2 linked regions of the Sus scrofa genome follow. The protein of the gene in region 1 purifies or fractionates together with the protein of each later gene. This does not show direct contact. Links are inferred from orthologs where the notes say so. Each region holds a gene or a part of one and is shown in the gene's direction. Other genes may lie near its edges.

The links.
Region 2: the proteins of MEX3C (region 1) and AP2A1 purify together in Homo sapiens (affinity purification with mass spectrometry; 3 studies listed by BioGRID, with this or other methods). This does not show direct contact. The link is inferred for Sus scrofa from reciprocal best matches to the Homo sapiens genes MEX3C and AP2A1.

What each region holds. Positions count from the first base shown.
Region 1 is NC_010443.5:100,677,481-100,681,238, reverse strand, and holds the end of MEX3C (RNA-binding E3 ubiquitin-protein ligase MEX3C), read left to right. Parts: intron 1-1,556; coding exon 1,557-2,782; 3' UTR 2,783-2,787; downstream 2,788-3,758. UniProt on the Homo sapiens protein: E3 ubiquitin ligase responsible for the post-transcriptional regulation of common HLA-A allotypes. Binds to the 3' UTR of HLA-A2 mRNA, and regulates its levels by promoting mRNA decay.
Region 2 is NC_010448.4:54,820,538-54,825,567, forward strand, and holds the end of AP2A1 (AP-2 complex subunit alpha-1), read left to right. Parts: intron 1-20; coding exon 21-77; intron 78-182; coding exon 183-265; intron 266-367; coding exon 368-457; intron 458-1,748; coding exon 1,749-1,872; intron 1,873-1,966; coding exon 1,967-2,083; intron 2,084-2,188; coding exon 2,189-2,258; intron 2,259-2,461; coding exon 2,462-2,596; intron 2,597-2,926; coding exon 2,927-3,004; 3' UTR 3,005-3,369; downstream 3,370-5,030. Other genes in the region: FUZ (protein fuzzy homolog), read right to left, coding at 3,400-3,623, 4,547-4,621, 4,699-4,763, 4,844-4,950.

The sequences.
Region 1 (3,758 bases):
TGGAGTTAAGGAGACCTATTTGGTTGGGGGTAGAAGGTACTGTTGCGATTAGGCATATTAGAAATGTCTAGAAAGAATTAGTTTTTGTACAATTATGAATTTGTTGAGGGCCAAAAAGGAAAATTAAGAAAAAGATCTGCCCAGATTGTAACATGTGTCTTCAGTAGCACCTAGCTTCTTTATTTTGAGGAACGAGGAATGGCATGATATATTCATGAGAAGAAATCTATTCTGGCAGGCTTCATGTTGAGATCTTTGAAAAGTATAACCTCAGAGTTGTATGCCTTAGTTATATGGTTGACATTTTTAAGTTATATTTTGAAACCCTCTAATCTTACACACTTGGCACTGGTAATGGGTGATTACTTCAAAAAGTTATGCATATGTGTCTTCGATATTTTAACTTAAATGTACTTAGAATTTAGAGCCCAAGCCTTTTATTTGAGAATGGGGCTGCCAGCCAGCGTGGTCCTTCAATAAAACCATGTCCAACGGCCATATTCTGTAGTTTCCAGTATGTTTCTTTTGAATTTCACAAGAACTTTACAGTGAGTGCAAAATTATTCTGTGTTAGTTTTTTTTACCCTAGGATTTTACAGTTGTCCCATCCAACAGCATCTTTTTTTTTTCTTTACTCATCCTTTATTGAAATTTCTAAAAATAATTTTCATACTAGTTCAGTGTCTTTTTGCATTCATATGTTACTGGTTCATGTAATAATTTAGCACATGAGTACAGTTAGTATAAACAGATTTGGGGAGAAAGAGCTGATTTTTAATAAGCCGGAAATCCAGCTGATGAACAGAAGTGAGACAATCTACTAGCCTTGAGCACTTTGCTCTTATCATCAGTTGAACTGTACAGAGGGAAAGGTAATGATAAGGTAAAATGATAAGACAATTAAGTGGGAATCAGTTGAAGAACTTTTATCATATAGTGTAGTTGTGTGAAATTGGAGGTTCTTGAACTAACAAAACACTATAACTTTTAAAGTCAGACTAGATTTAACTCTGGATGTGCCTTTTACTAGCTGTGTGAACTTGGACAAGTTATATACATTTTTTTCTGTACTTCATTTTCCTTAGCAATAAAAGGAGTGCAGTAGTCTCATTCTTAGGGTTGTTGTGTAGGTTAAATAAGACAATAGATATTAAATGTCTCACATACACGTTACCGGTTTTTCTTTGCCACCAACACCCTGCAAGGTAGTAAACTGTTAGTATTCTGAAAGTCAGCCCACTCATAGTGTAGCTATCCTATATAGAGTATTCCTGCATCATTTGCAATGGTTAATAACGAGAGAGAGAAAACAATAATCCTCTTAGTTTAAAACCTCTAGTAGAGGGATCCCCAGAAGGGTGTAGTTCAGGATCTAGGCGTCTTAGTGAAGTTAGGAAAGTTTTATTATATAGTGATAAGTTTTTCTAATAAAGAAAAAAAACTCTAAAAGGGGGAAAACTGCAGACTCTTAGGTTAAAAGGATCTCTCTCTGATTTGCCTTTATCAATATTGTTGAAGTAGGTGTTGATTCTAATGAAATCTTTTCTTTCTAACAGGTTGTAAAATTAAAGCGCTGAGAGCCAAGACGAACACGTACATCAAGACGCCTGTTCGTGGTGAAGAGCCCATTTTTGTTGTCACTGGGCGGAAAGAAGATGTTGCCATGGCCAAAAGAGAAATCCTCTCAGCTGCAGAGCACTTCTCCATGATTCGTGCATCTCGAAACAAAAATGGCCCGGCCCTGGGAGGGTTGTCATGTAGTCCTAATCTGCCCGGTCAAACCACCGTTCAAGTCAGGGTCCCCTATCGTGTGGTAGGATTAGTAGTTGGACCCAAAGGAGCAACTATTAAAAGAATTCAGCAGCAGACCCACACCTACATAGTAACACCGAGCAGAGATAAGGAACCTGTCTTTGAAGTGACAGGGATGCCCGAGAATGTTGACCGAGCACGAGAAGAAATAGAAATGCATATTGCCATGCGTACAGGAAACTACATTGAGCTCAATGAAGAGAATGATTTCCATTATAACGGTACTGATGTAAGCTTTGAAGGTGGCACTCTTGGCTCTGCATGGCTTTCCTCCAATCCAGTTCCTCCCAGCCGCGCCAGAATGATATCCAATTATCGAAACGATAGTTCCAGTTCTCTGGGAAGTGGTTCCACAGATTCCTACTTTGGAAGCAATAGGCTGGCTGACTTTAGTCCAACAAGCCCATTTAGCACAGGAAACTTTTGGTTTGGAGATACACTACCTTCTGTAGGCTCAGAAGATCTCGCGGTTGATTCTCCTGCCTTTGACTCTTTACCAACACCCACTCAAACTATCTGGACTCCGTTTGAACCAGTTAATCCACTCTCTGGCTTTGGGAGTGATCCTCCTGGTAACATGAAGACTCAGCGTAGAGGAAGTCAGCCATCAACTCCTCGTCTGTCTCCTACATTTCCTGAGAGCATTGAACACCCACTTGCTCGGAGGGTTAGGAGCGACCCACCTAGTACAGGCAACCATGTTGGCCTTCCAATATACATCCCTGCTTTTTCTAATGGTACCAATAGTTACTCCTCTTCCAATGGTGGCTCCACCTCTAGCTCACCTCCAGAATCAAGACGAAAGCACGACTGTGTGATTTGCTTTGAGAATGAAGTTATTGCTGCCCTAGTTCCATGTGGCCACAACCTCTTCTGCATGGAATGTGCCAACAAGATCTGTGAAAAGAGAACGCCATCATGTCCAGTTTGCCAGACAGCTGTTACTCAGGCAATCCAAATTCACTCTTAACTATATATATATACATAAATACTATATCTATATGGACTCGTAAAGGCATGGGTATAATGGTACCCCCAGTAAACTTCCTAATGAATTCTTATGACTGTTATCAGGCTTTATTGGGATTAGGCTAAAGTTGTTAGTAAACTTATAAAAGGCTGCTATGGTAACACTAAACCTAAGTGGTCTCTTGTCTATTAGTTTGGTTTGAATTATTAATACTATCTTGTAGACGCAGAGACATAGCTTGTGTAAGAATTGCTAAAGCTGACGTTCAACTCGGCTGAGTGAAGATAATCATAGGTTGTGTGACCCTATGAGAAAAGTGTATACGTCTAAGATTTCAAAACGATGGGTCCCAAAGCCTAACCACATTAAGAGTTTATGGAGGGTACTTGGCATTACAGATGATTCAGACACTTCCAGTGCTGCCTTCTTTACACTGCCAGTTTTGACAAAACAGGTTTGTTTGTTTTTTATTTTACAACAACTTATGCCTAATTCTGCAGGATTGCAAGTAACTTTTTAATGCATTGTGATTAATTATTGGTAATAATAGGGCTGATGGCAGTTTACTCAATCACTGGTTATAATTTGGGACAAAAACTGCTACATTGACCTTCATCTCGCCCAGAGTGCTCACGGCTGGTGTGATCAGTGGATCAGGAATGCAATTGTGTCGATTGTGAATTCCTACCCATTGCCTCCCTCGGTGAATATGGAAATGGCCACCTGGGTTTTTCCATTGCAGGAAGGGCTTTGGGATGCACCTATATTGGCTAATCGAGGATGTGAACATTCCATTCATTAGTCTGATCAAGCTATTGATTAATTTTTAGACTCTAGATCAAAATGTGAAACATTTTATGTTCAATCCATATTTGTCTTGCACATTATAAATATATTTTTATTTTTTAGTAATTTTGGGGAGGGGGGAGAGAGGGGTAATAATGCCCTTAACATAATTCACAAAAGCAGCTGTGAC
Region 2 (5,030 bases), on another chromosome or scaffold:
CCCTCCTCTCCCACCTGCAGCCCAGGTCCTGAGGACATCGGCCCGCCCATCCCGGAAGCCGATGAACTGCTGAATAAGTGAGTCGTGGGCGAGGTTGGAGAGGGCAGTGGGGACAAGAGGGGAGCACAAAGCAGGGTTCAGGGGGGCACTCGTCATCCCGAGCCCCCACCGCCCCCACCCAGGTTCGTGTGCAGGAACAACGGGGTCCTGTTTGAGAACCAGCTGCTGCAGATCGGCGTCAAGTCTGAGTTCCGGCAGAACTTGGGTGCGTCCAGGGAGGGATGGGGTAGGGTTTCGGGGAGACCTTGGCCTGGGGAGGGGGTGGAAAGAACTCAGATGGAGCCCTCCCCCGCCCCACCCCTCACAGGCCGCATGTATCTCTTCTACGGCAACAAGACTTCGGTGCAGTTCCAGAACTTCTCGCCCACTGTCGTCCACCCCGGAGACCTCCAGGCTCATATCCTCTTGGTCTGGCCTGGTTCCCTGGTTCCAGACCCCTGTTGGGCCCTCTTCCTCCAGAGCCTGAGTACATGGTACTTCTCTGAGATCTGGTGTTATCTGTCAGGTGGGGCGGGCCTCTCTCCCGGGACAGGAGGCGACCGTGATGTGATGTGATAGGGATGCGGGAGGTGTTGCTTCCGGAACCCCCTGACCACGTCCCATGGCTCCACACCCATGATCCCAGCCCTTCCTGCCCTGGCTAGCCAGGCCTGGGGGTCTTGATGCTGACCAGGGCCTTCTCCTGTGTGCCCTGGGCCAGTCCCTTGGCCTCTCTGAGCCTTGCTATCCCTTCTGTGAAGTGTGGATTCTCCTCTTCTTTCTCCCAGGCTTGTTTTGAAGATCGGTGTGGTTGGAAAGCCCTGGCAGGGTGGCTGTCGTAAAGGAAGCGCTTGAGCAGTCAGCCCCCTCTCTCCCATCCTCTGGTGCTCAGTTCCCACAGCTGGAAAACTAGTGGATAGTGCCCCCAATCCAAGGACATTTTCCGTTTGTTTAATTCATCAACGTTTCCAGGGAGTTCCCGTCGTGGCTCAGCGGAAACAAATCTGACTAGTATTTTTGAGGACACAGGTTCAATCCCTGGCCTCGCTCAGTGGGTTAAGGATCTGGCATTGCTGTGGCTGTGGCGTAGGCCAGCAGCTGTGGCTCCAATTCACCCCCCAGCCTGGGAACCTCCATATGCCTCGGGTGGCCCTAAAAAGACAAAAAAAAAAAAATTTCCGTATGGCCCCTGTAGGCTCAGCTCTGTGCTGGATGGGGAGTCAGGGACACCCTTGCCTTTGGGTTGTTGACATAAAGGCAGAGGGTGATAACTACCACTATTTCTGTGGACTTACCACGTGCCAAACACACTGACAAGCACTCATGCTGGATTATTTCATTGAATGCTGGGGACACTGAATTCATTTTGCAGATGAGGCTAAGATAGGTTAAGTGACTTGCCCACGGTCACCAAGGTGGTAAGAGCTGGGCTTCAAACCCGGGTCAGCCTTTAGAGCCACAGAGGATCTCCAGTTGCACTACGGGCGTGACCTCTGCAGAAACGGAGGCGTCTGAGCCCAATATGGAAAGTCAGAGGAGGCACCTAGGGGGGTGGGTCCCTGGTTTGGTGTGGAGCCGGGCCTTGGAGGATGAGACCGGGACGGCAGGGTAGGGACTCTCAGAGGCCTGCAGGCTGGGGCTGAGTGTTCTGAACGATTATGGCGAAGACCCCGTCCCGTGCCGCTTCTGGCTTCCTTGACCACCGGCACAGCTGGCCGTGCAGACCAAGCGGGTGGCCTCGCAGGTGGACGGCGGGGCTCAGGTGCAGCAGGTGCTCAACATCGAGTGTCTGCGGGACTTCCTGACGCCCCCGCTCCTGTCCGTGCGCTTCCGGTGAGTCGGGAGTCGGGGCGCTGGCTGGTGGGCGGGGCTTTCCGGGCGAGGGCGTGGTCTAACCCGAGGCCGCTCTCCCCGCGTCTCCCCGCAGGTATGGGGGCGCCCCCCAGTCCCTCACCCTGAAGCTCCCGGTGACCATCAACAAGTTCTTCCAGCCGACGGAGATGGCGGCCCAGGACTTCTTCCAGCGTTGGAAGCAGCTGAGCCTGTGAGCCACGGGCGGCGGGGCCGGGGGGCCAGGGCCGGGGCCGCCCTCGGGGAGGGGCAGGGCGGGGGCTTCCGATCCCCGACCTGAACCTTTCCCGGCCCCCAGACCCCAACAGGAGGCGCAGAAAATCTTCAAAGCCAACCACCCCATGGACGCGGAGGTCACTAAGGCCAAGGTGAGCCAGGCAAGACAGGAGAGGCCCTGCTGGGCTCACACCCCAGCCCCACCTCTCTCAAGGTCTGGGATTTGGGGAGTGGCGGCCGCTCAGCTTCTCTGAGCTTCTGTTTCCCCAGGAGGGTCTGGGGGGATTTGGTGTGTCACTGTCTGGGAGCTAACAAAGCCCGGGCACCCTCTGACGGCCACCCACTTCCTCCCCAGCTCCTGGGGTTTGGCTCTGCGCTCCTGGACAACGTGGATCCCAACCCTGAGAACTTCGTGGGGGCTGGGATCATCCAGACTAAAGCCCTGCAGGTGGGCTGTCTGCTGCGGCTGGAGCCCAACGCCCAGGCTCAGGTGCGTGGTGGTCTGGGAGGCCCCTGCTATGTTCTCTGCACCCCGTCCTCCTGCCTCACTCTGTCCTTTAAGTCATGTGTCCCCGTGCCCCTCCTGTCTCTCCATCCTCCCTGATTTGCATCTCCCCACAGCCTCTCCACTCTTCTTGACCTCTTATCTTTCATCCTGTACCTCCTGTCACCCCGGTCCTTTATGTCACCTTTCTGATCCCTTTATCCTTTTTCTCTCATCATTTATCTGCCCTGTATCCCCCTCTTCCTCCTCCTCTTGGGGGAGGAGCTACCTGCACCATCCCTCTGCCACCTCCCTGAGTCCCACTGTCCCCACCAGATGTACCGGCTGACCCTGCGCACCAGCAAGGAGCCCGTCTCCCGTCACCTGTGTGAGCTGCTGGCCCAGCAGTTCTGAGCCCTGGACTGTGCCCCCGGAGATGTGGCCGGTGCCGGGCAGCCCCCAGGACTGAGGCAGCTGTGGTGGATGGGGCAGTAAGGGGACCTCCGCTGGTGACAGGGAAGACCCTGGGGTGGGGGGATGCCTAGGACCTTCCTCTGGCCTTTTGTATTTTTATTTTTGTTCATCTGCTGCTGTTTACATTCTGGGGGGTAAGGGGGAGCCCCCTTCCTCCCTTCCCCCCCCCCCGAAGCACAGAGGGGAGAGGGGCCAGGGAAGTGGGCACCTCCTCCCCTCCCACCCCACCCCCCGGTAGCCCCTCCTGCCCCCTCCCCATCCAGGGGCTGTGTATTATTGTGAGCGAATAAACAGAGAGACGCTAATAGCCCCGTGTGCGTGTCTGTGTCTGGCGCTCAGAGGAGCGGGGTGAGGGCATGCAGGGTGTGGGTGGCCAGGCCCCGAAGCCCGTGCGTGGGACTCTGAGCAGACAGCAGCAGCAGCAGCCGCCGTGGCCCCAACTGCAGGGCCACCAGCCGCCATCCGATGCCCGGCTCCTCAGGCCCCGACACCAGGTAGCAGGCTCTCGGCACCTGGGCCCGGTGGACCGCCTCCTCCACCTTCTCTGGCTGCCCGGGCTCTGAAGGAAAGACAGGGAGGGCTGGGGTGACCAGTGGGGCCTGGACCCCTAGGATGCCAACCTGCGTGGGAGTCTCCCCCATCTTGGGCCCAAGTTTGACTCCTGACAGAGGGGAGCCCCACAGCTCCAGCTGGCTGTCAGGACCTAAGAGGTCACGGACTTTCTGCCCTCTTCCTACCCAGCCTCCGTCCCCCACTTTCCTGGCGATCCTGTGTATGCAAGCGCCAGGCGATCCCCTTGGCAATACAGATCACGGATGCGCAGGAGATGTTTCTCTGGTGACAGGCACCAGGCTCCAAGCCCTGGTAACCCTCCTGAGGACCCGGCCCAACTACACTTGGGAAGTGGTGGGGTAGGTGGAGTCGCACAGCCCAGTGCTTTTCACCATTTTGTTACATTCATCAGAGTCCCCTCTGGGGCTGAGTTTCCGCTCTAGTTCCCTTCCTGCGTCTCACTGGGCCTCACAGGTTCTAGGCGACAACTTTTCCATCAGGACCTGGGCTCTGTGGACTCTCCTACCCTTCCTCCACCCAAGACTCTCAGCAGACCCTGTACTTTCAGAGTAGACTGTGTGGATGTGGGAGCCAGGCCGCCTGGGTTTGAATCGTGGCTCTACTGCTAATTAGCTGAGCCTGCTTCCTTGTCTGCAATACGGGAATGATGATTAAAAGGAGACTGATTATTGATTAATGAGGATGAAGCGAGGCAATACACAGAAAAGCACTTGGCAGGAGATGAGGTCTCAGCGTTAAATCAGGATAACCCAACCTACAGGCTGGGACCTCCCAGCTCCTCCCCTGCCCAATTCCTACCGGCTTCTCCTACCACGTTCCGCACCCCCACAGCCTACCCCCACCTCGTGAGGCCTGGGACTCGGGGTCCCAGCCTGCGCATGCAAAGCGGGTGCTGTGCCCGCCGCTGACCTGGTGGGAAGTACGTGGCAGTGACCAGGGTGTAGAAGGAGCGGAGGAGGCGCCGCCGCTGCCCAGGAGATGGTTCTGAAGGAGTAAGAGAGACGGGGGTAACCGAGAGCCCCTCCCCAGCCCACATCCCTCCCGGCCCCGCCTTCTGTCACCTTTATCCCCCGACAGCTCCACAGTGAAGAGGCAACGTTTCAGTTCCAGGTGGAGGAGCAGCAGCCTGTGGGGAAAAGGGGTGTGTCATGGCCAGGGGAGAAGGGATGAGGACGCCCCCAGCCCACTCCCCGGTCCCAGCCCTACCCGAGGATGTCCGCGTGCAGGGGGAAGCCCCCGGGCAGCGCTCGGGGTCCCAGCGGCAGGCAGGCCCGCAGCGGGTCCAGCAGCGGCTGCCACCAGCGCTCCAGAAGCTGCAGGGGGCGTGGTCAGCGAGAAAGGCGGGGTGGGTGAGGTCGGGAAGGCGGCTCGGCTGCAGGGAGCAGGGGGAGGG